4 linked regions of the Saccharomyces cerevisiae S288C genome follow. Changing the gene in region 2 together with the main gene of any one other region gives a genetic interaction. Each region holds a gene or a part of one and is shown on either strand. Other genes may lie near its edges. The genes, in order: FRE7, MKS1, DLD2 and SLX1.

The links.
Region 1: mutations in MKS1 (region 2) and FRE7 together harm fitness more than expected from each alone (negative genetic interaction), as found in Saccharomyces cerevisiae (2 studies listed by BioGRID).
Region 3: mutations in MKS1 (region 2) and DLD2 together harm fitness more than expected from each alone (negative genetic interaction), as found in Saccharomyces cerevisiae (2 studies listed by BioGRID).
Region 4: mutations in MKS1 (region 2) and SLX1 together harm fitness more than expected from each alone (negative genetic interaction), as found in Saccharomyces cerevisiae (2 studies listed by BioGRID).

The regions. Positions count from the first base shown.
Region 1 is NC_001147.6:35,200-43,463, reverse strand, and holds FRE7 (putative ferric-chelate reductase), read right to left. Parts: upstream 2,717-8,264; coding exon 854-2,716; downstream 1-853. Other genes in the region: ZPS1 (Zps1p), read right to left, coding at 8,057-8,264. UniProt on the Saccharomyces cerevisiae protein: Cell surface metalloreductase. May be involved in copper homeostasis.
Region 2 is NC_001146.8:479,143-487,244, reverse strand, and holds MKS1 (Mks1p), read right to left. Parts: upstream 3,690-8,102; coding exon 1,935-3,689; downstream 1-1,934. Other genes in the region: MLF3 (Mlf3p), read left to right, coding at 1-479; snoRNA-binding rRNA-processing protein IMP4, read right to left, coding at 766-1,638; APJ1 (Apj1p), read right to left, coding at 4,268-5,854; NIS1 (Nis1p), read right to left, coding at 6,254-7,477; tropomyosin TPM1, read left to right, coding at 8,080-8,102. UniProt on the Saccharomyces cerevisiae protein: Negative regulator of Ras-cAMP pathway. Involved in transcriptional regulation of galactose-inducible genes.
Region 3 is NC_001136.10:136,039-143,822, reverse strand, and holds DLD2 (D-lactate dehydrogenase), read right to left. Parts: upstream 4,302-7,784; coding exon 2,709-4,301; downstream 1-2,708. Other genes in the region: GID12 (Gid12p), read right to left, coding at 1-1,726; YDL177C (uncharacterized protein), read left to right, coding at 2,102-2,614; PCL9 (Pcl9p), read right to left, coding at 4,618-5,532; AIT1 (Ait1p), read right to left, coding at 6,284-7,784.
Region 4 is NC_001134.8:669,588-676,727, forward strand, and holds SLX1 (endonuclease), read left to right. Parts: upstream 1-5,725; coding exon 5,726-6,640; downstream 6,641-7,140. Other genes in the region: TDP1 (tyrosyl-DNA phosphodiesterase 1), read right to left, coding at 1-710; YBR225W (uncharacterized protein), read left to right, coding at 1,040-3,742; MCX1 (Mcx1p), read right to left, coding at 3,985-5,547; glucan 1,3-alpha-glucosidase ROT2, read right to left, coding at 6,770-7,140. UniProt on the Saccharomyces cerevisiae protein: Catalytic subunit of the SLX1-SLX4 structure-specific endonuclease that resolves DNA secondary structures generated during DNA repair and recombination.

The sequences.
Region 1 (8,264 bases), on a different chromosome or scaffold from region 2:
TTCCAATTATATGCTTCTTACTTATTTTATCAATGGCGACGTTTTTTGTACAAAAGAGGTGAGGGCCAATTGTTGAAATGAGAAGGTATTGCAGCATTGATATTAATAAGGTGCTATAAAATATTGGAGATTATTTTGTTACGAATTCTTTCTAGTTTTGAAAGGAAACTATAGCGTACAACAATGTATTTGTAGAACCTACATGCAAACATAATATAATAATGATAATATTTATTGTACCTAAAATCGCAAATATGACATAGTTCACGCGGTAATTTTTTTTCGCGTTCTTGATTAGAAGTCAAAGTAATCGCTGGCATTTAAAAATGAAGAGGTTAATGATATGAAATAGGGTGTGAATATGGTGTATGTATTATACTGGATATGTTCTGTTATTGGTGAGAAACCCCAGAAGTGGCACACCGAGAGCATGGATATATTTGGAAGAAACAAGCTGCAGAACAAGTAATGTTGCAGGAAGTGCAAAAGAGGGCGAGAAAAGCTGATAATGTTTATATTGTCAACTTTCTCACTGAGGTTTTCATCCTTACAAAAACACTCTTCTAGCGGTTTTAATCACGTTACCGTTTATTTCGGCTGCTCATTCTTATCTGGTCCGAGGAAATGATTATCAAACAAGGATGGAAATTTTGTACTTTTGTTCGTTTGCCCGCCCTTTACCCTCAAGGCTGTAAGATGGTTAGCCAAGAAATGCGTTGTATTGTCTTCTAGATGAACAAAAGAATTAAAGTGCATAACTATTACATATTTACCCGCTAATAATCAAATATTTACATGGTTTTGCCGAAATGCTTGAATGATATTTCACATGGTGGATGCCATCTGTTTCCTACTAGTAGCCAAAACTCTCGCTGTGTAAATAGCACTCTTCGACATTTTTGTTAGAAAAAACCTTGGCCTGTAAACCTGCCACGGAATTTCCGACGGTATACCTTAGGCTGTCAGAACCTGAACAAATGAAGCAGTTCCTGAACCCAATTTGGTAATCATTAATGACCTGATTCAAATCAGGTTTGGAAGGAATAATGGTGATGAGACCTTTATATTCGTTATTGGATTTGTCGAAAGTTGAATTTGACTCAGTATCATCCTGGCCGAATTCGGTATCTTTTTCTCTTTTAGCTAAATCAGATTGGTCACTGGCGGTGTCTATTGTTTGAGGGAAAGTTTTAATAATACCAGGGACGGTACTGTCCGAGCAGACGTAAATTCTAACCACAATTTTCCCATCTAAAAATAACTGGCGCAAATTATTTGAGAGGGTACACATTTCATCTCTAATCCATGATATATCCTCCCTATGTCTTACCACCCAGTCCAATGTAATAACTTCTAAGTTTGTCTTATGGAGTATGGGGCCATATTTTTGCAGGAAAGGTAAGCATGTAGATATACCTGAACCAGAGCAAATCAAGTAGACATTGGTAAAACTTCTAATATCTCTCTCGATTCCACCATAAGGCCCATCAATAAGAATTTTCTTCATGTCGTCATTACTTTCGTATAGCCTTTTAGAAAACCCTTTCTGGGCTCTAATCAGCATTTTTATTCCTCCGGGATACTTTGCACTCGGAAAGATAGAAAATGGATGGTTGGAAATGATGCCCTTATCAATAGTTCTCACGAATATGTGTTGACCTGGGGAATAGGCCATTTCCACATCTTTGACGATCAATTCTACGCATCCTTCGCCGACTATGCTGACATTTGCAATGGTCGAGGCCATGAAACTTCTACCAGGTCTTAAATAACCCTTCACAGCTAGTCTGTAAAACAGTTGTGCAAACCAAACCACAATTGTAGCAACCAGATACATATGGGAATTCAATTCGGGATATACATGATAGAACAAACTAATGTAAAATCCAACAGCTAAAATCCAATGAAGTTGCAAAAAAATCTCATAAAAATGTCTTCTAGCAATAGGCAGCGAAGATAACCATAGCAGATTCAAAAATAAGATGGGTGGGACACCACTCCTCCACATGTCGGATGCCTTCCACCGTTGATGCATTCTTTCATATCCTCCCTCATGTCGTGCTTGACGTAGGAAGGGAATGACATGAACCCAGCTAAAGAATAAACAAAGAATGGATGCCCATTGGTGGTATATGTTGATTTTTTCATACGAAAGCCCAACCAACCAACCTATAACGTTGATCTTCCCGGAAAGTGAGAATACAAACGGAACCAAAGATATTGCCATTATGCCTGCACGAACAGACAAAGGCGGCGAACCAAATCCTGCACAAGGTCTGTAGAATGGATGAGGAACAAAGCAGTATAGAAGTGTGTATAAAGTGGTAGCCATTACTACTAAAAAAGTACCCACAGATGTCGGAATACCTAAATAAGAAAATATCAACGTGGGAAATTTCCTGTAGCAAATGTATCTGTTGAATGCGACAAGTTTCGTCATTATTCGAGCAAGGAATACAGAAGGGGTAGTCGGCGAGTTCTTCTTTTCTGGAAGAAATTCCTCACTGGAATCATAATACATAAATGCCAGCTTTTTTATCAAAGACAAAAAAATTATCACAGCGACAAAGTAAGTGACGAATTTTCCGTATTGTTTTTGGTACACCCATGGTGTCGCTGCCTGCGATTCTTTTTTTAACCTGGCGTATAGTTCGGAGTGGATGTCAGCAATACAATGGATACCATTGCTTAAAACCAAATCTCTTTCTTCAATCATTTTATTATTTATCGATGTATATAAATAAACTTTGAAATAAAAATTTGAAATATCCCTTTACTTGCAATAAAAAACTTTTAGTATTGGTAATAAAGGCATGGTTTATATGATCTTGAGAACAAACGAGTGCATAATGAAGAAGTACTTCAGAGATTTTAAGAAGTGAATTTGCGCAAATGCTCACGTATTAATGCGCAGTTATACATCCTGCTTAACTAAGAAATATGCGCGGTACATCCAGATGCGAGCACTATAATTTGACACTTTTCCAAATATAATAAGCTTGGCAAACGGGCATTTCGGCTGCGTTACTTGAAACGTATATCGACTTTTTCAATTTGCGCAGACGAGGATTTTCAACCGCATTTTCTGAAAATAGTGAGCACATAGTATGACAGAAGGAGGTTATTTCAAACATGTCTTGTTTAATGGCGGTCACTTATATGTGGAAAAAATATCCTCCTTGTTCATTGGCCATCCAAATACAGGCGTATGCTCTTGTAATAACATACTGTAGTTGCCTAATAAACTTGAGGGATCTTCTATTGGTCAGAGATGTTCAGTAAGTCGTGGCGTATAGATCCCCTTTGCAGTTTAAGATACTTTCGTATTATCTGTTATCTTCATTTTGTGTCTAAAACCATTAATAAATGACCAGGAAATGCGCTACTGTCACTATAGGTATTTCAGGATGTCATTGGCTGTATCCAGATAAATTCAGAGAATATCAATCACTCCCTATGTTGGCGTTCTTGTAAAGTAAGAGTCACAAAATAGGATGCTATCAAAATAAAAACTTCAAAAGATGATGCATGGATGTACAGACATAGTCAGAAACCATAATGTAGTTTTATCATAGTTCAATTGGTCAAACACTGCTGCGGCTGTCATTACGCTGGTGGCATGATGAAACTTTTGTTATGAACAACTCTCCAGGTCCTTGTTGTCTCTGTATTTGGCACTGAGAGCGCGTCCACTTGAGGTAAGACACTGGAGCAAAAGAGTATAGTATTCTATAGAACAAATAAATGGGTGATGGGCTGATGTTACTTATAGAAAACTCAATTTCGTTATTATATGGATAATTACCGTGGGAATATATGGGCAGTCTCAGGCATTTTTAGCCGGGGAGTATTCCTCTAGGCATCCCTCTGCTATCCTGTGATTGTGGAAAAGCGTTTTTCAAAGACATATATTGAAGTCTACATAGCATTAAGTGAGCAGCGTTAATCGTTTGCAATGTTCTCATATACATGTCATTATTATTTGTAGTGGCATCTTTGGTTGTAAATATCCCAGCGTTGTGCAGGAATATTCAAACGACATTTTCCTGAAGTTGTATAGACCAACTCAAAATAACTATAGCTGCTTTAATATATTTTAGCAGGTTAACTCAAACATCTGCAAAGTAGCATAAACTATCACGTTGAAGATAGCATAGATAAGAAGTTCATACTTTCGTCGTTACTGTTCAAGAGACAATTGATTAGTATTGCACCTAAATATGTGGTACGGTAAGACCTGGGGTGTTAGTGAATGCATAACCGTCAGTCCATCTGCAAATAGCAGTAAGGATTGGCTTTAAGAAATTCGTTGGTTCCTATTAACGTGGCGTAAAACAATGATATAGTATGGGGGAAGTTGATTGACACGACATGATTGCATTAGGCACGTACCCGATTCTTTGAAAATTATGTCCTTTAATAAGTCGGATCTATATATAAGATTATCAGATGACTATTTTCTGCGGCTGCAACTTTGAGTTCGGTAAAATTAATCACTTGATTACTAAATAGCATGTATATAACATGGTCGAAAATTTGACTCAGGGTCGGTGAAATAAAAGTCAATGAGAGCATTTAGAATAAATTAACATTATGGTAAAGCGGACTTTTCTCTCTGTTCTTTTTCTTAATCTTGCATATGCACTACAGGTCGGGCTTTAAATGAGGGTGCTCTAAAGCCTTGGTCGAAGGAGTGCATATTTCGGATTCTTTTTCATTTCATGGTCTCTGGAGAAAAATCCTCGACAATATATATTTTCTAAGGGGTGCTTAAAAAGGGGAACATAGAAGATATACAAGCAACTACATTAAAACCCTATTCTTAATTATGTATTCGTAGTAGTATACCATAACGGCTTATACTCTGTCATTCCTCCCATATACTAAAACGCTTATATGACAGAGACTCATCACGCTCCGCTTCCGGATGTGTATCCTTCTTCTAAGCAGCCAACCTCCTCTACCTATTCTAAGTGTAAAAAATTTGGTCTGCCATTAATTGGTTTATTGACGTTGCTCTTAGCTTATATCAGCAGCTTTACCAAACCCGTCCCAAATTCCACTTTTGACGTTCCTGCCTCTCCACAATGTAAAAAGCCTCAAGTATATCGTCCATCGTTTAACAAGTCTGTGAATTTGATTCTGAACGATAAGCAATTCAAAATAGACTCAATAAGAAAGTTGTCTGGTGCCATTCAAATTCCTACAGAAATTAGTGACACAAACCCGCTTCCAAACGATGACCCAGAGTACTATTCAGAATTCTTCAAACTTCACAAATATTTCTAAGAGACTTTTCCTCTTGTTCACTCTCATCTAAAGGTGGAAAAAGTCAACCAATTGGGTCTATTATATACATGGGAAGGTACAGATCCGAGTTTGAAACCAATATTATTTATGGCACATCAAGATGTGGTGCCAGTTAACAGGGAAATATGGGATTCTTGGCAGTATCCACCATTGTCGGGTCACTATGATCAAGAAACGGACTATGTTTGGGGTCGCGGCTCCAATGATTGTAAGAACTTAATGCTCGCTGAGTTAGAGGGTATAGAACAACTGCTTGCCGATGGTTATCAGACTGAAAGGACCGTTATATTATCTCTGGGCTTTGATGAGGAGTCAAGCGGTTTTATGGGCGCTAAAGTCTTGGCACCATTTCTGTTGGAAAGGTATGGCCCGGATAGCATGTTTTCCATTATTGATGAAGGTGCTGGACTCCTAAGACTGGATAAAAACCTTTACATTGCAGCTGCTGTAAATGCTGAGAAGGGTTACGTTGACGTAAGGATTAGTATCCATGGTCATGGTGGTCATTCATCCGTACAACCTGACCATACTACCATTGGTGTTGCATCAGAATTGATATATATGATGGAAAATCACCCATTCGATTATAATTTCTCACTTGATAACCCCATTTATGATGTATTACAATGTGCTGCCGAGCATTCAGGTTTTCTGCCACCACATGTCAGGGAGGCAATCTTAAAAGCACCTGTGGATGAAGGGAAAAGGAAGGTTTTGACGGAATTTGCTGCATCGCACCCTGACATTCGTGACCTAATAAGAACAACTAGAGCAGTCGATGTCATTAATGGCGGTGTCAAGGCTAATGCATTGCCAGGATTGACCAGCTTTATTGTTAACCATAGAGTGGATATTCATTCATCTGTGAACGAAACTGTGTAAAATGATTTGTATTGGGCCAGAGTTATTGCTGAAAAGCACGGGTATGGTTTGACATTCCATGACGAGATTATCATCCCGGAAACAAAACTTGGCCACATTTCTTTAGCAAGTGAAAAAATGTTAGAACCAGCACCAGTATCGCCAACTTCAGGACATGTCTGGGAGATTTTTGCAGGTACTGTTCAAAACTTGTTTCAAAACGAAATTTTGGCTGAGCAGAAAGATGCAGATGTCTACGTTACGGGTGGCTTGTTTTCTGGTAATACCGATACCAAGTATTACTGGGGATTAAGCAAAAACATCTATAGATTTGTTGCAGGTATCTTTCCATTTGACCAACTAAGGACAATACATTCTGTTAATGAACATATTTCAGCATCTTCACACGTTTCAGCAGTAGCATTTGTCTATGAATATATTGTGAATGTCAACGAGTATGGCCATGATTAATGGGCGAATTTTTTTATATAATGGTAGACCAGTGTATATGTTGAACGCGTCTTGGCCAAACGGTCTATTGATATTAAAACTCCTATAACGTTTCAGTCAAAGTCTAGTATTTTTGAAATTAGAACTTTACTCAACGGCCAACAATTGCAAAGAATATTAATAATTTAACATACCGAAGAAGGGAAATGTAGGTAAAATGGGATACTTATTATGGAAAAACTTGTTCTTTTCTTGTCATATCTATATTGAAGATTATGCTGTAGTATTACGCGTCTGGAATTACGGTTTAATAGATATAGTATATCAGTTTGTTCGTACCGAAATGTGTGAGAGTTCCTGCCCTCTTTTTATTTTAAAATGGTTACTCTGTGCCAATGATGCCCGTTCATATTAATTTGAGACCATTGCTAATAGAATATTATCTTTATTTCATAATAGTGTTTGGCGACACTAACATGGGTAATTATAATAATCTTTTCTATAAGTGACCAATTGAAATATTGTTCACTGACTGACAAATCTAAAATTTTTTGCCCTGTTCACCAATATTTTATGTGTCTTTCTTTCGCATATTAACAGAAAATCACTGAAGTATATTTTAGCGTAATCCTGTCTTTTTGCCCATGAAGGTCCTATTAGTTTTTTATGTTGAAGGTCTCTTTATTATTTATTCTATCTGAACATATGAGTATTCCTAATTTGCGCATTATACCCGAAATCTATTACCACAGATTCTGTTCAGCCGCACTGGCATTACAACTTTTTCTGGTGTTCTATCAGTTGCATTGGCCTATTAAAGGGTTATGTTATTCTCAAGTTTTTTAATAAAACCAAGACGATCATTGATTTCTTTACTATTTATTGCCATGAAATTCAAAAGAGGAAATGTAGGTGCGTAGGCGAAAAACTTGGTAGAAGAAAACGTTCGGTAAGAATAAATTATCATTAATTTAATTGATAAAAGACATATTTATGTTTCATTTTGTAGTTAATCCTTTTTTTGTTCTTTTCAGGAACACAGTTCCTTCATTATATATGATGAATTCTATAATTTTGCGCGGATTTTGAAAAGTTCGATGCGCAATATAGGCCTCTAAATATAAATATAATAATAACACAATTATGATAAACTTGTCATTAAATTGTTTCAGACTATTGTAAAATTGAGAAGAAGAATGCTATTGTTTGATTCATTACTCGACACGTATACAATGCACTGAGATACTTATATTGTGCTCAATTTTTTGCAGTTTACGAAAAATAATGAGCAGTACATTCTCGTCAAAGTTTGCAATCATATAAAAAATACCATCTAATTCAATGAAAAAGAATAGCTCCAATTTATTTTAAAAACATAAACGAACTAATATTTACGGTATAGAAAACATATTCTGTGGAAGTAATGATGTGGTTATTACAAGTTACCTAGACAGCCACCAGGTATAACAGAAGCACTGTAAACGTCAGCGAGATAGTAAAGATAGTTGTCGGTGTTTCTAACTGCGTAAGTAGCATTGTTCTGGGTGTAGTCCACAACTTCTTCAAGAGTTTCCGCGTACTCGCCAACATATCCATCCATACTCATGGTAGGGACGTGCAAGTAACGATGTAACATATCAATA
Region 2 (8,102 bases):
CTTATGTATCTCCGCAGCAATCTGCGAGACAATATTCAAATAATGCTAATAACAATGCAAAATCCCCAAAAAACCGGTCATCTTCGATACTATTTCAAAGACAATCCATTTTATCAAACGTTGACCCTGTTGCAAACATGCACAAGAATCCCAAGTTCCAAATAGAATCAAGTGACAGCGAAGAAGAAGATTTAACCATGGACATGCTAGATCCTTCCTTTCCGTTAAGTTCGTCTTTGCGTTCAAGTGCAAACTTGGCAAGTAATCCCGAATTAGCAACCCAGACGCCTTTATCGACATCTTCGTCATATACAGCAATAGGCAAGCCCATGCCTTTATCAACAGATCCTTCTTACGTGTCTTCTTCTAATACGTTATCCTCCGAACATGAGTTAAGAGTTGAAAAAGTCAGTGAAGTGCTTAAGAAAAAAGTTTCAAATGGTGGATTTTCAACTGAATTTAATAGTTGTGATACATAAATTTCCTTTCTGCACCTCTTCCCTTCGTTCGTTTTGTTCTTTTAAATTTATGTCTTCATATGGTTATTTTTTTTATGTAGATACTCTCACAGATACATTGATAAACAATTAAGAAAAAAAAAAAACGCAAAAATAAAAATAAATCATGTGTTATGCTATCTCTTCTTTTCTCTTATATTCCCTCTAAGACGCTTTTTTTTTTTTTTTTTTTTTAAGAATACCATATTAGACTTACATAAGGCCTCATCGGCCTTCTATTTTAACCTTTACAAATCTATAAAAAAATTCACAAATAGTCTTTTTTATTGGCAGTCCTTATGAATCTTCTCAACTGCCACTCAACATCAGCGTCCTTATTTTCTAAAGTTCCCAACCTCAGTTCAAACAACCTCATCTCAAATCTAGGACCAACTTCGGCAATCTCTACTCCCTCTCTTGTTCTCACATATACATGCTGTCTAACGCTAATGAAATCACCCCTATTCGCAAAAGTGATTACTCTTTCGGAATCTTTTTTGGGCCCCGCATTGAACAAGTGCTTTAAAATACAGACTACTCTTTTCCCTAAAGCGGTAGTAAAGTTATCAAATATTAGATGTGGATTCACTTCGCTTTGGTTACCAGCATTTATAATATCATGTCTCATAACAACATTGTGTAAACTAAACTGTGCAGTGGGTCCATGTGGAAAATGTGATATGGTCAAAGAAGTTGGAACACCTCTATGTTCATGTAATACCACCAAATCTGTAGTACCGGATTTTTTACAAGCATCCACTAGATTTGGCATCACATAATTACCTCTGTTCAGCCTGACAGCATTTGGAAATAGCAGTTTAATTTCTTTGGCAAATTGCGAGAGACGAGTGCTTGGGTCACGAGATGTTGTGACGATGATTCTTGGATCCATTATACCACTTGTGGCAGCATATTCATCATCAACCTGTAGATCATCTGCTTCTTCGCTCTCCTTTAAACTTTGGTCATATCTGAAATCCTTTTGTAAACTCTCATCTTCTGCTAGTTCCTTTGGCAATGGCTTCCCCTGAGCTAGCGCTTGTTTAATTATTTGACGTTTTTGTTGCAGTTGAGAATCTTGTAATTCTTGCGCTTTTCTGTATAGATATTCTCTCCTTTCACGGGCTTGTCTTCTTAGCATTTCGATTTAACTGTTTTATTATTTATGGGAACACTTGAATCAATGATAAAACCGAGTATATATGCCCTTTCAAGTCCAACCTCATGCAATCAATATATACGCTACTTCATGCATTTTCATCTCATCGCATTTCCGGGATAAAATTTTTTATATTTTTCAGTACACAATATCCGTTACCCGAAGTGAATAGTGTGTCATTAGAAGGAACTCTTTCACTGCGTAGATAGTAAAATATATGACATTATCTTTTTTTGAAAGAACTTTAAATACTGTATCTGATTTATTTAACTTAGTAATCATATTCGCCCTCCATTACTCGTCTTACGCCCCAGTGCTTCCGTTCTCTGATTAGAGGTGTCATCATTACCATTTCCATTACTGTTTGCAATACTCGTATTGTCAAGCCGTGATATTGTACGTACCATCTTTTCTTCCTCAGAGATCTCCATTCTGGTCTTCAAAAACCCAGTATTCCTGTTCTTGGATGGGATATCCATCGACTGCCGCCTCGAAAAACGATGTCGCGTATTACTACCAGTGGCAATCGCCATTCGTTGTTGGTGAATGTTATTTGGCAAAAACATGTGAGTAGATAAGGCGGTGGGCAGTATAGTTTGAGCAGTTAGCGGAGCATTAGATTCATATAAATGATTGGACTCATTATCAGTTTTGAAGTCCTTTTGTATATCCATCGATAACCGCTCATTGTTGGATGGTTGCGGGGGAGATAGCGATGCTAGAGCTGTCACGTTGCTTGTTTTCAAAGAAGGTTTTTGTTGTTTTATACCATTAGCGCTCGGTGGATTTTGCTGCGGTTGAGGACCGATATTACTATGAGAGGACTGAGGAGTCGGCGAAACGTGTTTAGAAGCGTATTCACTATGTGCAGTATTGTGGTTATTACTGTTGCTATTTGCCTCACTAAGGAATAGTCCACTGAGTAAACTTTTTCGTACGGGATCATGGGATGTGTTTGAGTTGATTGTGTTCGCTGATGAAACAGATGATTTCGTTGAGTCAAGATTCTGTTGATTTTTGGCAAATAAAAGCTTGTCCCATTGTCTTCTATAGTACTGATCTGCTTCTTCCTCATTATAATCATCGTACTCTTCATCATCTTCATCAGCGTAGAATTCTGAATCATTCGAAACGCTGTCCCAATCGGAATCTTCATCTTCACTGCTGAAAAATATCTTGTTTTTTCCTTTTCTAGAGGATGTTTTCGAAAGTGACAGTTGACCATTTTGGTCATTCTTGTAAGACCTTGGCCTTCCGAATAAAGATTCCTTCTGAGGAAAAGAGGATTTTCTACTTCCCATATTTTCAAGAGTAGGACTGGTACTCTTGGAAGTCTCATTATCAATGCAGTTCATGTTCATGTCTCCTATATGCTGGAAAGGTGATCTTGAGCGTCTTGATTGTAAAGGTTTCTTGGTTATAACAGTGCTTGTATCAAAACCAGTGATAATAGTTTGTGGTTCTTCCTTATTAGCAACATGGTTCACATTTTTCATTTTTTGATATTTGTCTGCAAAATTTGAAAACAACCCTGACGTAGTAGATTTGGAGAATTGTCTGTTTGGAGCAACGTCATTTTTCACATCATTGTTTGTAGAATTAGGATTATCCAAGGATCTATCGTGAGCACCCTGTGCGATAGCTGGTGATGTCATTGGCCGAGTTAAAACGTTCTGTTTTGCCGTTGTGGGAGGCAAATTGGCCTTTTGTAATGGTGGCTGCTTTACTGCTGCCTGCTTTGGCTTTATTGGCTGTTTGTTGTTTGGATTTAACACATAATATATGTTCTTCACGCCGTCTCTTTTTTTAGATCGATTAATATTATGCTCCTTTAGAACAGCTTTATTCAGAATTCTCCAACTTATATTGTGCAGCCTTTCTCCCTGCTCGACACATTTGGATGCTTTTATTAACGTAAGATATAGTTCGACATCATCAAATAAATTCAATCGCTCTGGGGTAAATAAATTAGGTGTGACTTTTAAAAACTTGTTAGTACCTATATTCGGTACATCAAATGCCTCCCGCGACATCAGTTCTTTTTTTTTATTAGGATTAGAGAATAATTAGGAAGTGTTGCTTAAGTAAATGAGATGGAACTAAGGGGTAGTTCTCTTTTTTCTTGAGGGTTGTGCTCTGTTCGTTTTCACGCAATAGTACAGTATATGTTTCTCCTTTTGTTCAGATCATTCAAATAAAAAGCAAAAAGGAAAGAAAATGAACACTTGGGTTAAAGATCCCTACTGCTGAAACCAAAACGATATTTTGATGAACTTAGAAATATGATCAGTGGTGAACTTCCCTTGCTTCTCTGTAACAACGGCATGCACATTCTAATCGGTTTTTTTTTTTGCTTTTCTGTTAAGTAACCTCCCACGATCTCTTGGCAGGCACTAAGAAAAAGATGAATAACAATGTATTACACGCTAAAAAAACTGCTAAAGGACTAGGGCTGCAATGATATTACCACCCAAACCGCGGTAAACCATCCACAGGAAGAATAGCGTATCTTTCCGCATTGCTTAAAAAAAGGAATGTCCTTATAGATAGAGTACTGATACAAAAAATAAAAATAGAAAATGTATAACATTACTGCATGACTATATAACCTTCAATATCCATTAATATCATGGTCATAAAAACCGCTTACCGGTGAAGAATATTTATTTCGTTTCGTTTCATTATTATTATTAATATTACTTTCGTCGAATCGACGGTTGTTCCTTTTCCGAGAATCTCTTTCATTAATCAAATCACCAAGGTCGTCGTCTTCAATAACTTCATTGTTTAAATTAGGGGCCTCAAAGCTACTTAACACATGCTCTTCCACACTGTCATATGACTTCTCCAAATCGCAATAGCAGTCTGAATCTGCGGTTTCCATGGTGGAACGTTCTGCTTTAATGTATTTATCATTAGCCAGAATATTTTGTATTTTCTTAGCATTTTCAGGTTCCAGTCTCTCTGGATACGTCACATCGAATTTGACATATAGATGACCGAAACCGCTCCGAACACCGTTGATAAACTTGGGCATCCCCATGTCCTCAACAGTCTTGAAACAACCAGGCTTCAGTATCTCGCCAGGTATAATATCAAGTTTGATCAACTTACCGCTAGGGTGCCCTTCAATATAAACTACGCCTCCACATAAACTGGTCATGAAGTCGATTTTGCACTTCTTACATATCAAATTGGAGTAGTTGATAACCTGGAAATTCGGATCTTTTAAACGTAAAATGGTGATAACGACGTCACCAGGTATTACCTTTTCGTGACCGCCTCCCTTAGTACTAATAACTTCGTCACCTTCGCCCGTAAGTACTATAAGTTGGTTATGACACGATCCCGGTTGAACGGTGACTTGTAGAATCTTCCTCTCCTTAATGAAGCCAAGACCTTGGCACTGTTGGCAAATATCTTTATTTTTGACAAAAACCCCGGCACCCCCGCAATCTGCACAAGTTTGAGACCAACTTTGTACTAGAGGTCCCATACGCCTAGTTTGGGTTTGAATACCTTGCCCTTTGCATGTTTTACAAGTGCATTTCTTTAGACCACCGTGCCCATCACAAACACTGCAAATCCTTGTCCTATTCAAACCCAACTTTGCAGTCTTACCCATGTAGAGTTCCTTCAATGTGCACTTTAGATTATGTTTGATATCAGGGCCTCTATCCAAATGATGGTCCTCATCGTTGGAGTTGTATTTTGCTGACGAGGAGTACAGATTGTTCACGCCACTGCCATTAACAAAGGAGAAGCTCGGCGTAGAGCTATTATTGAAGCTAAAATTAAAACTGCTTTTGGAGCCATTAGAAGAGGGGGTAGCAGAACTATTAAAAAACTGCGCGAAAAGATCACCTGGAGATAGATCCGGGAATGACATTGCTTCCGTATCGAAATTTGAGGATGAACTGAACGGCCCGGCTTGTTGGCGTTGCGCCTGCGCCTGCTGCTCTTGAATCAGGACTTCATCTGTGGTACCGTACTGGTCATACAAAGCTCTTAAACGATTGTCTTTAAGTATTTCGTATGCCTGGCATATCTCTTGAAACTTTCGCTTGGATTCTTCTGTATGATTGTTTTTATCAGGATGATATTTTAATGCAGCGTTCCTGTAAGCTTTCTTAATCTCAGATGTGGATGCAGCGGCAGTAACGTTCAAAGAGTCATATAAAGACGTGTTTTGTTGCATTCTCCGTTATCTTGTGTCCACTGGTAGCAAAAGAAAAATGTGTTTTACTTTATCGTAGGTACAGTACGGCTCGTGTTGTTTAGAGAAATAATCACTGTATCGTGAGGTTGGTTTATTACCGATATAAACTGTTTGATGAATGTTGAATACTATTATAATCTATTCCTATCAGTATATAAAAGCGTTCAAACGATTTCACATACTTGTGGGAACGAAGAACGCGTCATTACCTTTTTAGTCTACAGATTCGATGCTCCAGTCATTTTTTTCCTTTATTTTCCGTAATGTTCTAGAAGAAATCGAGCGGGGGAAAAAGATACATAGAAGGATAATGTGATTAAATAAAGTTTGATGTCTAAGGCTATGCAATGGCTATGCAATCCAGGGGGGGTTACCTACTTAAAAGGGGTCGCTACTAAGTATACTATCGTCTTGACTGTCGGGTATAATTATAGGATTGCTTTTGGTCTCACCTGCCATCTGGAAGAGACTTGAAGGAGTAGATAAAAGGGACATGTCTAAGTCGCTGGCGTTAGAAGAGCAGACAGAGCTTTCATTCGATGCTGAACCCGGAGAGCAAAGCAAAGTCAGGCGCAGTTGCGTCCTCTGTGTTATAACCAGCATTAAGTATTCTCTCCACAGTTCCAACAGCAGTTGCTCCTTTCTTGCATGCGATTTGGTGTTCAATTTTCCTCTTCTTTTTGGGTGGTACAACACACTAGGGGAAGTATTGGACCGCCCCACATTCTTGTTATAAACAGATCTTGTGGTTGGGGTCGTTGAATTCTGTTTAATTGTTTTCGTCGCCGTCGCAGGCATAGTCGTCGGGAGACTACCTGGTTGTGATTTGGGTAGTTTCCTACTTATGGAGCGGTTCCTTAGATACGGTGGACGACTACTGGTTGCATACATCTGGCTTCTTAAAAATGGGATAGGAGTTACCGCAGGGTCCCTGCTAGTGAGATTTCTGATAGCGTGTAAGTTTACCGGTTGCGAAGCCAGGACATTTGCAATATCCATTTGTTCCAGTTCTATATAGTTCAAAACGGATGTCAGCTCCTTCTTGCTCCTGAATCTTGACCGTACCTTTGCTTGCCTGTCTTCCCTGCGTATGGAGTGTTGCCTCTTCAAAAACCCTTTGTGAAAAATGAAATTATGATTCTTGCTGAACTTGGAGAGTTCATTTTTGCTGGTAAAGTCTGTTCTTCGTTGTGAAGTGTGTCGAATTGGCTTTGCGTTTATGGTAGGAGAGCGAGACCTCATCTTATAATTCGACCATTGCGTAAACTGTTCCATCACTTCAGTGCTTTCAACCTGGTCCGCTTTGCTTATGTTACGGTTCCTCAAGTGCGAAGCATCGTGGTACTCCATATATGGTTTGAAGCTGTCGTGTGTTATATGAGAGTCATCCGATATTTGCACTATAGGAATCTTGGTATCTGAATTTGAATTTGTGTTCGAATTTGTGTTCGAATTTGTGTTCGAGTTCGAGTTCGAGTTCGATGTAGAATCCACAAGCGCATGTATATAACCTGAAGTGGTAAACCCACCGGTACCCAGGGGAGGTGGGAACAAAGTCGGGGGATAAGACTGAGTCCCAATGCTAGTCTCGTATGTCTCCATTGTCTGTATGGTTGTATTTCAAGACGTATCTGCAAGAAAACTGATGTTTGCGAGTTAGGAACAGGGAAAAATACATGAATTAAGAAATACGAACGATCTTAACTATTTTCAACAGTACCTGAAACATGGATGTAAAAACGTAGAAGATACCCGAATAAAGTGGGGCGCACACCGGACTTGAAACCACTCCTCCTTTACCAAGCACTAATTTAAGCTAATCTAATTTAACGCAGTACATTTTGTATGCGCGGCAGCAGCTTAATACATTGCTGTCATTCACTAATGGAAAAAAAAAAAAAAAAAAAAAATCAAAATATAAAAATAAATATTAAGAACTTAAAAAGACAAACCAGCCATCGCGTGGCGCTAGCACATATATCTTACCCGACGGAGAGCCGGGTAAAGAAGTCGGGTAACCATTAAAATAAAAAATCAGCACACCATAGCACGATCTACGAGAAACGGAAAAGTGTTAGAGATCACATACTGCATACTTGGCAAGAAGAAGGTTCGTTTTTCCCTTCTGATACTGTAAAAGATTAGGTTGGTAGAAGAAATCTACATAGTAGAACTCACACCCCATACACACAAAAAAGGCAACAATGGACAAAATCAGAGAAAAGCT
Region 3 (7,784 bases), on a different chromosome or scaffold from region 2:
CTCCATGTGTGTCCAATATAAAGCATAAAGAATCATCCAGCATAAATAATTTCTTGAATGAACATAAATTTCCCAATGCCTGCTTGAATTGAGCTGTCTCATCATCTATCACTTGGCCATCCACCTTCATTTGACTTTCTGCCCACTCTTCTTCATTAGTTCCATTTTCAGAGCCATTTTTGTTCGATAATGAATCGATTTTAATTATTGGTTCATCATAGTACCGAGGTCGGAATGCACTCAACGTGACGAAATGATCGATGCACACAATGTCCATCTTTTTGTAATTATCTGTTAGAAAAGAAGTCATTGTTTCATCACTTTCATCTGTAGTGTTATCATCTTCATTCACCCCATCATTTCCATTTCTATGAGAAATCTTTTCAACAATTTCAAAATCTACCATAAATGTATTCCTTCTTAATCCTCGGATAAAAGAATCTAATTCCCACTTCGTTGAACAGGGTACATCCATTCTTTCTCTAAAAGCGTCTCTAGTTAAGGCTTGAAAAGATTCTCTCCTTCTTCGACTCAGCGGTCTCGGTTCGCTGCTAGCAGTACTGAATGAAGAATTTCGGCGACTACTTCCCAGCATATCTTGAGTGTGGAATAACTCATATATGTCATCTTTAGCGTGACCTTGACGCTGTTTCCAGACGATTCCTGAATCCAGCATTCCTGTTCCAGAATATTTTACAATATCATCCCAAATGGTTGAATTTATAATATCCGTATCGAATGTAAACTTGTTACTAATCCAGCTGAACAAAGAACCAAATCCATTTTGTTGCGCTACGTTGTCCCACGAAAGTATCTCACCGCATGTATCTCCCTGTATACTGTTCTTTAGGCTGATAAAGGTGCTTAAAAATGTAACATAAGTCAATGGTAAAATTATTTTCCTTATAAATAGTGGTGATCGTGGCGATACTGTCATGAAACAAAACCGGTCTAATGGATTTATATGGAATGTGGAAATACCTCGTTCTATATGTAAATACATCGAAGGCCTATATATGGGCAGGCCTTGATACATATTGCAAAACGAAGATACCACGGGTGACGATCTTAAATGGGATGGTTCTATAGGCAAAAGGAAGTAGCAGATATGCTTAGAGCATGACCTTCCAGTGTACCGCGTACTACCTTCAAATAATTTTTCTTCTTCTGAAGAATGTGTTGTATTATTATCGTGATGTACTTTGAAAAAGCAATCTGGAAACATGGGGTTGTACATGTTCTTATACTGAATGTAATCAGTGGGAAGGTTCATTACAAAGACATATATTCGACCGGAGCACATACAACAATATAATAAACCTTGACTATATTCAAGACCAGCGATCATATAGTCACTAAAAAAATTGGATTCGAAATCTTCCGGAGTACATCTAAGGATATAAGAGGGCGCTAATCGCAGGCCATTTTTTATCTTGTATTGATAGTTGCTTATGATTTCAATGAATCCGTTGGATTTAGCCAGCACCATGTAATCACATGAGTCCAAAATATGCGTTGCGTCTGGAGATATTGACGTGTCTCTACCATTAGGCCTTAAATAACAAAACGCTTGTATATTTGCATTCACATCTACTTTTGTACAACCTCTTTCTGATGGGACCAGTGCTAATCGATCGTTTTTAAATTCAAATAACCTATAACCAGACGGTTTACCCTTAGTATTGCAGGGAGTAGAAACAGCAAATTGAATCCTGCCAGTAGCCATCGATAACAAAATGTTCAGATTATGTGGAAAGACGCTTTCTGCGTGTATTTAACAACTCAAAGTAAAACCTATCTTAACCTGGTTTTGTTCTATTAGATGCCATTCAACTATGGGGAAGGTATATTTGGATGTTTGTTAGCAATTTTCAGGAAGGCAAGTACTTAATACCGATCAGCTTACTATTGTTTTTGACCTTAGAGCTCTTTTCAACAAAGCTTCGCATTGTGAAAAGCAGACCCAAAACGGCAACTGAGAAAATACGGCACTGTGGAAATAAGTCATGCATCAATCATCAGCTGTAAAAAACCTTTAGAAAAGACATTATACAGATTCTTAGATAGGTATTGATGTTTGGTATTACTATTTTTTGGAGAAATGAGTAAGAATGTTGGTAAGCTAGTGAAAATATGGAATGAATCAGAAGTTTTAGTTGATAGAAAATCGAAATTTCAAGCAAGATGTTGCCCATTACAAAATCAAAAGGATATACCCTCCATACTCCAAGAACTAACGCAAAACAACAAAAGCGTCTCCAAGGCATCCCACATGCACATGTATGCCTGGAGAACGGCCGAGGTATCAAATAATTTGCACTTACAACAAGAGCAGAAAAAGAAGGGCAATAAAGCAAATAAGAGTAATAATAGTCATGTTAACAAGTCAAGGAACATAACGGTGCAGCCAAAGAACATTGAGCAAGGATGTGCTGACTGTGGCGAAGCTGGTGCTGGACAGCGTTTATTGACCTTACTTGAAAGAGCAAACATATTCAACGTCTTGGTAATAGTGACCAGATGGTATGGTGGCACGCCTTTGGGCTCATCAAGATTCAGACACATTTCAACATGTGCAGTGGAAACCTTAAAGAAGGGTGGATTTCTTCCTTAAATATCACCCTTACCATATAATATACACAATTGTAGAATATAATATTGATAAATATATACATATGTAGATAACTATAAAACTTGGCATTTTATTTTCAAATGTATTTGTAAGGGTTTAAAATTCCATTAGGATCATAATGAACCTTCAAATCCTTCATCATCTTGACCTCTTCCGGGCTCTTAGAATAGCCAATGTAATTTTTCTTTTGGAAACCTAGCCCATGTTCGGCACTAACGGAACCATGTTTTGAGGAAACAAACTCGTAGACAAATGGTTCCAAAGTCTTTTCAATGTTCTTGTTGTACTCTCTAACTGCAACATTTAAGTGTAGATTACCATCACCCACGTGACCGTATCCAATGGCGCCCACCACTGGTTTGGGCGAATCACCCACTAATTCAGCTTCAGAAAGTCTTGCATTAGTGGCTTCAACCAAAGAATATAGGTCCTTTAGTGGTAAAGAAACATCGTATTTGTAAACACCACCATTAGCTTGACTTGCCTCTGGAATCATTTCTCTCCACTTCCACAAGTTTTGGAGTTCGGTTTCATCTTGTGCCACTACACCATCCGTTACTATGCCCTCTTCCATGACGTTTTCTAAAAATGTTTCAAGTTTGGAATCATCGTGATCTTTGTTTGACCCTGACGTTTCGATAAGAATATAAAATGGATGCTCATCCTCCAAAGGGAAGGCAGCATCCTTCAATTGGCTCTTGGCCAATACTTGAGATTTAGCATCCATAAATTCAAAAGCGGATAAAATCTCAGATAATTCTTGCCTGGCTCTGACGAAGACTTTTTGAACGTCTTCAAAACTTTCAACAGACAAGTAAGATACATTAAACGCTTTTGGCTTAGGAACAGTCAAGATTGAAACACCAGTGATGATACCGATAGTACCTTCTGAGCCAATGAACAGCTGTTTCAGATCATAACCGGTGTTGTCTTTTCTCATGGAATGCATGCTATTAACAATTTGACCATTGGGCATTACCACCTCTAAGCCTAAAACGCTTCCATGTAGTGAGCCATAACGCAATAACCTTAGTCCTCCAGCGTTGGTTGCAACCACGCCACCAACATGGCAGGAACCTTTAGCTCCCAGATCCAACGGAAACATATAATTTTGTTCCATTACGTAATTGTTAGCATTTTCCAAGATTACACCAGCATCACACTTCAAGATACCTGATACAGGGTCAAAATCTCTTATTTTGTTTAAATTTGCTAAAGATAGAATTAATTCATCAAAAATGGGCACAGAACCACCTACCAACCCCGTGTTACCGCCTTGTGGGACAACGGCAATTTTTTCATCATTACAATAATTTAAGATTAAAGAAACTTTTTCCACTGACTTAGGTCTCAATACTAACTTGGACTGTCCTTTGTACTTTCTCATCCAATCTTCATTATAAAATGAAAGATCCTCTGATTCGCTGGCTCTTAATATTTCTTGTTCCGATAAAATAGATTTAAAATAATTTAGATCATCGGACGTTAATTTTTTGAATCTAGGGTCTCGATGCACGTCTGGATAGTTTTCGCTAGTCAGTCTGGTTTGTATCTTGGTCGAATAATAGTTAACTCTTCTATAGTATCCTAAAAGAGCTGATGATTTCATATATCTGCCAGCAAATTTGAAATTGCTGCCAGTACTTCTCACCAAAATGTTTCTTAGCATCTTGTTATATGCCACTTGTAGTGCTGGATTAATGTCTGTAAAATAAAGAGAAGAAGTTGTCAATGCATTTATTACCACTTTTTCAGAGTCAGATAGATTTTGAATTATATAACCTGTCAAAATGAAAAAAACTCGGCCGATATTCCTCGAGAAACAAGACGAATGCCAAGAGTATTCATTATTAGATATTTGTTTATGTAGTATGGTGTTTTTTTAGTAGCCTAGAAACGATGGTTATTCATATTGTACAAAGTTAAGACAACTAAAGAACGGAAAAGAATATTTATAGAGCTTGTAAAAGGCGAGTAACTTAGAATTATTGCTTGAAAAACGATGACCAGCCCCTCCTTGTAAAATTTAACCGTTGGTGAATTGTGGGCTTATGCGACATTACTGGTGAACTTCCCATTGTTACATCAATATGGTTTACTGAGTGTATGTTTTCCTCTGCCCTGAAATTATTACAGATATCGTTATTATTCCTTAACGGCACATGATTTTTTTTGTTGAAGTTGTCAGATTCCACCAACGGTAGGGACGGTTGGTATTTTGCCAGTAGAGAAGACCTTGAGTCTGTTGTCGAAACTGTTGCCATGGATGTCAGTGAAGGAACCGATATAGCAGAAGAAGTTCTAGAATGCGAAACCGGTCTTCTATGATTTATATATTCTTTCAGTTGGCCGGGACTTGGTGCATTGAACAACAGCATTTCTTGTCTCCTTTGTAAAAATAGTTGTTCCTTGATAGGCCCGAGGAAGTAAGAAAGAGAATCAATCAAATCCGGTGTAGTTATCCTCACATCCCAATTTAAATATTCTAATAGTTCTCGTTCGATGGTATTCACCTCACGTATTCTGAGTAAACCTTCTGTGTACGTGGTCCAGTGTTTGTTCCAGGGAGAAGAATCGTTCAGAGTTTTGGCAGCTAATATCAAGCATCCGAGAAATATCCGATGTCTTGTGGTGTTAATACCGTACACATTTTTTGGTATTACGCTTTTCAGTTTGTTTAAATAAACTGATGTGGCCATTAAAGTTGGTGTTTGAACATTTGACTGAATTACCACGTTTTTAATGAAGATAGATAAGTCTGGTGGGCGACATCCTTGGATTGGATTATTATTTTCCCTGATTTTAATTATGGAAGCAGTAGAAGTGGCTAAGAACTGAATCATTTCTTGCGAAACAGGTTTTTTGTTGAATTGCAAAAGAGCATCGTAGTCAGAAATCATCTCTTTGTGCGTATTTCTTCAGAATTAATAATGCTGTTACCGAAACAAGTTTTCTTGTCCTTTCTTTGCGTATATCCACTTAAATATATGTTATTAGAGATCTATGAATGTCGATGCACTCTTCTACTGACCGCAAGCTGCCCAAATGCTTAAATACAGAAGCAAAGAGACACATATTTACCACGTTGCATGAATGTCCAAACTCACTGCACCGTTAAACAGAATTATAATAAGCAAGGCTTGACTACTTGTCCCTTGTAAGATTATCTACTTGAGCTGGTTTTTTTTTAGTGCAGCAATAAAAAAAAAAATTAGTGACGCTGGTTTCCGCGCAGCGCTAATTTAAGAATTTTCAATATTGCCAACAAATTTTATCTTGGCAGTTATGAATGGAGGCCAAATTGTAGCATACAGTGTGAGCTCCATATTGCCAACAAATTTTATCTTGGCAGTTATGAATGGAGGCCAAATTGTAGCATACAGTGTGAGCTCCATATTGAATGATGCATGATCTATTTTCTTTTGGACAAATTTCTACCTTGCATAACCTTTGATTGATGAACCACTGATGTAGTTAAACTTTTAAAGTAGGGTTAAAATGTCCCTTTAATATATTTTTATAATTACTTACAGATTGTTGTTCTTATGTAAATTTTATTATTAAGCTCCACCTCCCCTAAAGTAAAATGGATAACATAAAGATTTTTCAAGATATGAACACCCTAATATGTGCACGGTCGTTACTTATATGCTATATATAAACTGTTGAAAGTATTCCCGTTACAAAAACAAGAAGACTCCAAGAAACCATTACTCCAAGTACAAAAGAATCATTTCTTGCCAAAGCCCTCCAATTTTTGACTAGCTTCTTGCAGAATCTTAGTAAAGCGGAGTCGTTGGTCATATCATCATCATCCCCATTTAAACTACCATAATATAACGTCGTATTACCTAACAACTGGCCTGAATTCATCCCGAAGTGACCCGGGCTGCTATTTATTACATCAGGACTATCCATCGAAATGTAATTAGCACTCAGTGGATGTTGGTACTCTTGATTTGTAGCTACTCTCTTACTGATAGTATTTTCGTCGTCGTCCTCAAACTCCCCCTGTGAATTATTAAACCAATCGTCTAGCTCTCTTCTTAAATATATCGAAGTGTTGATGAGGAAGTTTAGAGATATGAAAGGAATTATTACGCATAAGATGAAATTTGAAATGGTTCTTGAGCCGAAGTAGTTCACCACGGGAGTAAATAATCCTTCATGGCCGCGAACATAGACGAAATACATCGACAGAATCAATGATTCCCCAATTGTCAACATGATATTACTACCAACTACCAATATCATTAACAATAAACCGGTGACCAACTGGTATGCCGTGCTAAATGCAATAAATCTCTTTATCGGTGTGAAGCTTTTAGTAGTATTTTGTGTATTTTCATTAGGAACTGCCCATGTATAACCAAAAGATTTCTTCAAAATGGGCTGTTCTTCGTCTATGGGGAAACTCAAATCACCCGTATCTAGAGTTGTCAACTTTAATGAATTGTCGATGGGGTTCATCATGATAATTGTATCGTCCTGCGAATTATCTGGTACATGCAGCTGCTTCTTATTTTCATGAGGTTGCTGTCGTATGCTGCCATAAGTTGATGACGATGAACGTAGAGGTTTGATTGGATGGTACTCAGACGAGTATACGTTATTCGATATGGAAGATGAGTCATTTCTTACTTCAATACATTTGGACAACGTAATATCACTTCTGTCTACGACGTTGGGGCGATATTCTGTACTACAACCGCAGTCATCGTTATGGCTCATATCATTATTGTTACAGTAAGTGTTGGCGCTTTCCTGGTGTGTGAAGCCACTATTAATGTTTGGATCGGCGATTTCTTGGTAGTTAAACAAATTCCCTATTATGCATATGGTGAATTCACCCAGGGCCCATGATATACCAAAGATATAGGCTTGTCTTGGAATGATGTGCCAAGAACATTCCTTATGCTTGATCGTACCGCCTTCGTGATCTTGCACCTGAGGGTACGCTAAACCAATCAGTATCAAAAGCATAAAGACGTCGTTGATAGGAAAATCCACTATCAGGTTCAATATTAAAAACCTTTGATTTATATTGAATAGAAAGGTCTTCAGGAAATAATAAAGAAATGGTGAAAAAAGCCCCAAAAGAAAGGTCCTGAAATAGTCCTGCGAATTTGGTTTGAACATCAATGGATCATCA
Region 4 (7,140 bases), on a different chromosome or scaffold from region 2:
AAGCTTCTCTTAAACGGTACTGGTAGCCCTTCTTTACCTATTTTCAAAAGGGGACTGCACCAACACACCTGTTGAGGCAGGTTAGTCTCCATTGACGTAAAATTGTTAGATGGCAAGAATATTTTGCATTCGCCATTATCGTAAAAGTTTATGATCAGCTTCGTATGGTGGGAAGCGAATGGGGGCATCGTTATTTCAATAAGTTTGACCTTTTTTAATATTACTGCCAGTGTCGCGTCCATAGCACGGGCTTCGATAGGCATAATAGTACCCTTTTGGCCGACGATGGTTATGTTCTCTACGTTCTGGTGGAATTGTCTCAACAAGAAATCAAGTTCGTATTGGAAACTGAAGAGTATGCTTCTTTTTAGTGTCTCAGTGCCAAAGATATCTTTCAATGTAATCATATCCTCTACTTCTCCCATAAAATCCTCTCTTTCATAGAAGTCCGATTTCATTAGTTTAAAAACGGCACCTTTTGCCGTATCGTTTGTTTCTATTCTCTCACTCAAATCTTGTTCCTGATTAGTCAAATCAATGATTTTCGATTCACTGACTATGACGCAGTCGTCGCTATCATTGTTACTGTTGACCGGAGCCATATTCTCCATTTCAGCACTATACCTGACGCTCTTCCACCGTTGTGCTACTTTCTCGGCAACATCCGACCTCTTCCTCTTAGTTCCATTGAAATTTGTTTCTCGTGACATTAATGATCGGTTGAAAACACATTATCATCATTCTTGTCTGGGCTCACCGTTTCTCTGCATTATTTTCCTCTTTATAAGCCCTTTATTAAATTACCATTTTCGCAGTTTAGTGCGGCCGCCGAAAATACATCAGAAGGGATCCATACCAACACTTACCAAGAACGCTGAAACACGTTGTTCACATCACCTGAAACAAGCAGCAGCTACTGGAGAAGTGTGTAAAGTAGTAGTAATTATTAAAGGACACATATTGAAGGATTGTTCAATTTTCTTTTTTATTATTTTTCCCCTCATTTATCCACTTTTTATAAACTGCTCAAGTAAATACAATGGGCTCCAATAAGGAAGCAAAAAACATTGATAGTAAGAATGATAGGGGGTTAACCAGTATAACCAGTAACAAAATTTCCAACTTAAAAGCACATGATAACCATACAAGTTCAATGATTACTGAACATAAAAATGCTGACAAAGAAAAGGGGAAACAAGAAAAAGAGAGTAGAAATGGAACCACGCAATCAAGTAGTTCAGTAGAATCACACTCACCACAAGTAAGCCATCATTCAGATAAGCTCTCGTCCTTTGATTCGCCCTTACATTTGCCAAACTTTAGACTGGCGGATGACTTGTTCTCAAACTCGTCAAGACGATCATCTGACTCCGCTGCCTCATCCTCAGTATCCAAACTGAAGTCCGCTCAGCTTTCCAAAATAGGTCTACATCATCATCATACAAGTAATAATAAACATAGTCATAGAAGCGGAACTCCGACTTCCGAAGTGAAAGCTAATTACTCACCAGACCCTTCTGCACCGCGATTCATTGTATCCAATATGGTCGGCAATGGCCGGGGAGGTGGTGGTCTACACGGTGCAACTTCGAACGTTGTCAAGAAACTCCATTCTAGAAAAAAATGGGACTGGAACACTTTACCGGCATCAGATTCTTCTCTTCTAATCAAAACCGTTTCAGGAAATCATAATTTAATCAACATTTGCATAGACGGTGAATTCAAACAAATAATGTACGACCCGAATCATAATGAGCTCTTTAATAGAATGGACTTGTTTCTATCTTTTAACATGGACTCCTCGCCAGAAGACTCTTTAATATTTGCCAAGAAAAGATTACGGTCGTACATTGATTTCCTAACAAAATATTTGGAATCTAGGAAATATGCATTTGAATGTTATCCATTTAACATTGAAAACATCATAAATATAGAGACTGAGGTTAAATGCTTTCCATCGTTTGACCCGTTAAAAGATTATTCTGAAATTGAATCCTTGATTCAATTATGGTTGGCTCAATCTCAAAAATTTTTACTGCAATCAAATTCATTCTTCTTTTCATCTGAAGTAGTGGAGGAACTAATAAAAAGAAAACCAACCACAAGACAACATTCTAATCCAACAATCAGCACCACCAGCAACAAGATCAGTGACCCTACATTATATATTCAGCAGTTAGATATAGAAGCAAACTCTCCAAGGCCAGTAATATCGGATCCATTAGACGAAATTGACATCTTATTAATAAGACCGCTGCATAAAACCCTGGGCGGTTGGCAGCTGGCGTATGATGAACCAAGCTTGAACATCGCAGATTTCGCATTAGATTTATCTCCCTGGATGATTGACAGCAGTGACAATGACGCTCAGAATAAGAATGCTAGTGAAATTGCTCCTGAGTATTTAACAAACTTACAAAATTATTTGCCACGAAAGGGTTCAAGAGCGAAAATAGTTTCTGACGAACAAGAAGTTATCGAATTGAATTCTTCCAATGCTTCAGAGTATATGTATGATTGCATGAATAGAAAGTTCTTTACAGATGATGCAAAAGAACGTATTTCTAGAAACAACTTCAATCAGGGAGTTGAGGAAGACCCTCTAAACGACCAATTCGCTTCAAGTAGATCTTTATCATTGCCGTCCTCGGGAGCAGATGCTGTCAAAAGGAAGAAGAGCCCTACCAAGGCTACTAAAAAATCTGGTTTCGTCAACTTTTTCAAGAGAAAGCATTCTCAACTTGCATCAACTTCACATACTACAAGCCCTTCAGTTTCACCTAGCATATCTTCTTCTTCTTCTCCAAAAATTCAACCACAGTCACATATCTCTAGTCCCCCTCGGACAGAGAAAGCTCCCCATGTCAAATCAGCCAACCAAGCACATCAAAATGAATGGTTGGAGAATTTTTTTTGCCGGACTTTGAACAACTACAAAGAAATCGATTTACCGACCCAATTTATTTTGCCAAAGGAAGTGAAGAGGTCCTCTAATGCACAACTTCAGCCTGAAGATGAACCACCTTTGTCATCACCAATATCCTCTAATTCGGATAACTCCTTTCCAAATGAAGGACTTGACAGGGCAAAAAGCGCAGCTATTTATGGTAAAGAATATTTAAAATTAAGACTGCCGTTTGCATCAGACACTATACCTGCTGTAATATGCCCGTGGGTCTGGACAAGTTTAAGTTATTATAAATGGAAAGCTCTACTTAGGGAAATATACAGATCAATAATTCCTGGCGGGTACGCGCTGGCAATTGTTCCAGATTTAAGGATTTCAAACACATACTATACTGGAATTCTTGGCAACGCCGATGCCGAAAAAGCAAATAATTCATCAGAAGAGTTTTTGACTACAAAAGAACGGGACAAGACATTTGATGCTATGGCTATTGATGCGATAAATAAAGGCTTACATATCCATCCTACAAAACACTTAACGAGGACATTCAAGGATGTAGGGTTTACAGGCATCAAGTCCTCGGTCCTAAGTTTGAAAACTGGTGACTTCAAAACAGATATGGGCTTTTTGAATGAATTTAATTCTTTAGATATGTGGGACTACATGTTAAGGAGGCAACTACCAGATAGTAGTTGTCCTCCAAAGGATACCGACCCCACCACTCTTTTCAAAAGATATGTGGAAGAACACATAGGAAAAATCGATGACAACGCTGGCTGCTTTAGAACTTTGTATGTGGTGGCGCAAAAGCCAAAGCTGCCATATACCAAATAATTGTGCCGCCGTTCCAATTTTTTTTTAAATTGTTCAAGAATTACTTCAATTTTTACTACTGGACAAAAAGCATTATGATAAGGAGTAGTCTCCCAGTATCGTAGAACCAATTTGAAACACTTTAGCCAATATTTATTAATTTTTTTTACTTCCCATGGCATAGTACTTTGTAGGAAGATTATTTGTTCATTTACTACATTTATTACATCTATATTTATATATTCTATACCATTCATTTTTTTTTATGTTAAGCTTCTCTTGGGAATTGTTGGGGTATGAATGTTAGCAGAATGACCCAACTCTTTTTCTAGCATAACTCCTAATTTTTTATCTTCTTCAGAAACGTCACGAATTAAACTGTCCTTTTCATCACCAGAATAGTATTTTACGTCCACTTGGGAAGCCAAAGAGTGCTCTGTTTCCTGTAACGAGTCGACAGTAGCTTCGTCGATTAAAACGTATGCTATGTTAGAACCCGGGCAATCATAATTAACGTTTAGCAGAAGTCTTTCCATTATCCCTCTCAACCCTCTGGCGCCAGTTCCTTCCTTGAGAGCAAATTGAGCAACTTTCTTTAGCGCCTTTTGTGTAACACACAATCTTACCCCAAATTGCTTAAAAATATATTCATATTGATCCAATAAGGCATTTTTAGGTTCTTTTAATATATGAAATAAATCGTCTCTTTGTAGAGGCTGCAGAGCAGTTATAATTGGGACTCTGCCAATTAATTCAGGAATTAGACCAAAGCTAACTAAATCTGTGGGGGTGGTCAAGTCTAAAGCACACACTTTTTTTCCGTTATCTAATTCAACCTGCTCAAGCGTATTGCTAAATCTGAACTTCTTCGCTCTTTCTTTTTCAACTTCTTTACTATTCGATGATTCAACAGACTCTCCTGCCTTCTGTATTTTCTTCATATCTTCTATCCTTTTAACAATATGCTTATCTAAACCAACAAAAGCTCCCATAATCATGAAAAGAATATTTGAAGTGTCTACAACAAATACTTCGTCCTTCTTTGTTGTAGTTTGATTTTTTTGTCCGTCAATATCATGCTTAACAGGCCTTTTAACGGTAATTTCCACTTTATGGCCCTCAATGATTTTCAATAATGACTGTTGAACCCCTTCTCCGGACACGTCTTTAGTGCCAATGCTTGCGGCAGGCTTGGCTAGTTTATCAATCTCATCAAGAACAATAATACCTTTTTCTGCTCTCGCAACATCAAATTCAGCATTTACGAGCAATCTTTCAATGCATACTTCAACATCTTCACCTATGTAACCTGCTTGAGTCAATTGTGTACAATCTGTAATTGCAATTGGAACGTTTAATATTTTCGCCAATGTTGTTGCCAACAAAGTCTTACCAGAACCTGAGGGACCAACGACAAGGACATTACTTTTGCTTAACTCTAAATCTTCGTCAACCTCTCTACCTGCTAAATTAAACTGTCTTTGAAGATTCCTCCAACCAGCCTTTGATTCGCTGTTTCCACTGAAAATTGGTTCATCCCTATCATCCGCGATTTTCTCTCGTTCCATCAATTCTCTCTGCCTTTGTAATTCCCCTTTCTTTTGCTTGTCATTGATTCTTAAATAGTGATTATAAACTGCCACGCTTAAAACCTTCTTACCAATCTCTTGACCAACAATGTACTCATCGAGGAATTTCTTCAATGCTTTTGGAGTGGGTATATTCGATAAACGAGACTGTGCCAGTTTCCCTGATGCTGTAGCAGCATATCGACCAATTCTACTAGAATAAGCTCTAAAAAAGTTTTGGCTTGCAGATTTCAACATGAGTGTGAAATGTAATTAGAGTGCCTTGTCTTCTATGGTTTTGTTTGATGAGCCGTTTGCTTTTCTTTTTAATTTTAATATATACCACTGATGACTTATTCCCTTCTATCATCGAAAAAATATTGTCAAATTAATGTTCTCTTTTTTCAAAAAATATTAAAAAGATAAGAAAGGTACCATGTCGCAGAAAATACAGCAGCATCAGTTTCCTGATTTTTATTGTTGTTATCTACTACAATCGATTAACAAGAGGCAATCATTTTACGTTGGATCAACTCCTAACCCAGTACGACGTTTGAGGCAGCATAATGGGAAATTGGCTGTTGGAGGGGCATATCGAACCAAACGTGACGGTTCAAGGCCCTGGGAAATGATAATGATTGTGCGGGGCTTCCCAAGTAAGATAGCAGCTTTACAGTTTGAACATGCATGGCAACATGGGTACCAAACGCATTATATTGCCGAAAAAGATCGTGTTGTAAAGCATAAAGCAGGTGGAAGAACTTTACATCACAAAGTTGCATTAATGAAGTTACTTTTAAAGCATGAATTTTTTCAAAGGATGAACTTGATAGTCGAGGTTTTTAATATAAAGGCTTGGGAGGTTTGGAAACAGGACAAATTTTTTATTGAAAGAGACAGATTTCCGATTAATATACAAATAAATGAAAATGCGCTTGAAGAACCAAAGGAGAAAACTGTGGATGTTCTCATGGATCATAGTGATGAGAATTTAAAAGTGGTGGAAGCTGTATACACTAAAGTCATTGAAAATGAAAGAAACATATTCGAAACTTTCGAAAAGAAACTAACTACAGGGGTAGTGCGATGTGAAATTTGTGAGAAAGAAATTGACTACACGTCTGAAGAGCAAAATCTGAAGCCGTTTGTAGCGCTTTGCAATAATAAAGACTGTGGGTGTGTTAACCACTTGAAATGTCTTCACAGGTACTTTCTAGATGATGAACAGTTGATGGTAGGGAGAAGAAATTTGATACCTCGAGGTGGGAAATGTCCGAAATGTGATATGTTTTGCGACTGGACGACCCTAGTCAAGTTTTCGACAAGAATGAAGTTAGCTCACGGGAAGTAGGGCCTGACACAATTTTCGGTTCTTTTTTTTCTATAGATAATGGTTATATGTTATATTTACGGATATTTTTACGTTTACTTTGTAAGAAAGAGCTAAAAAGATGTAAAGATATCACTTCGTTTTTTTCCCTCAAAAAATAACTTCCCAATCTTCAGTTATGTCAAGCGATAGGTTAAGAATGGTGATCTTATTATCATTCTCATATGACGATCTAGTCGGCAATGAACTTTCTTCGCCATTTTTTTTGACTTTAATACTGTCTTTCAACGTTATGTTGTGTTGTAAATTATTCTTTGCGATAATGATTTTTTCAATATTGGTATTCCTCAAAGTATTGTGGTGAATGCCTGTCAAATTCTCGGGAATATGACTTCGAACATTTTTTAAGGTATTGTTTTCGAAAATGAACTGAGTTTCTACGTACTCACCTCTTTGGTAGCCAAAAGTTTCTCCATCATCAACATAAAGATCTCCAACGGCTCGTCCCTCGGTATCAGGGG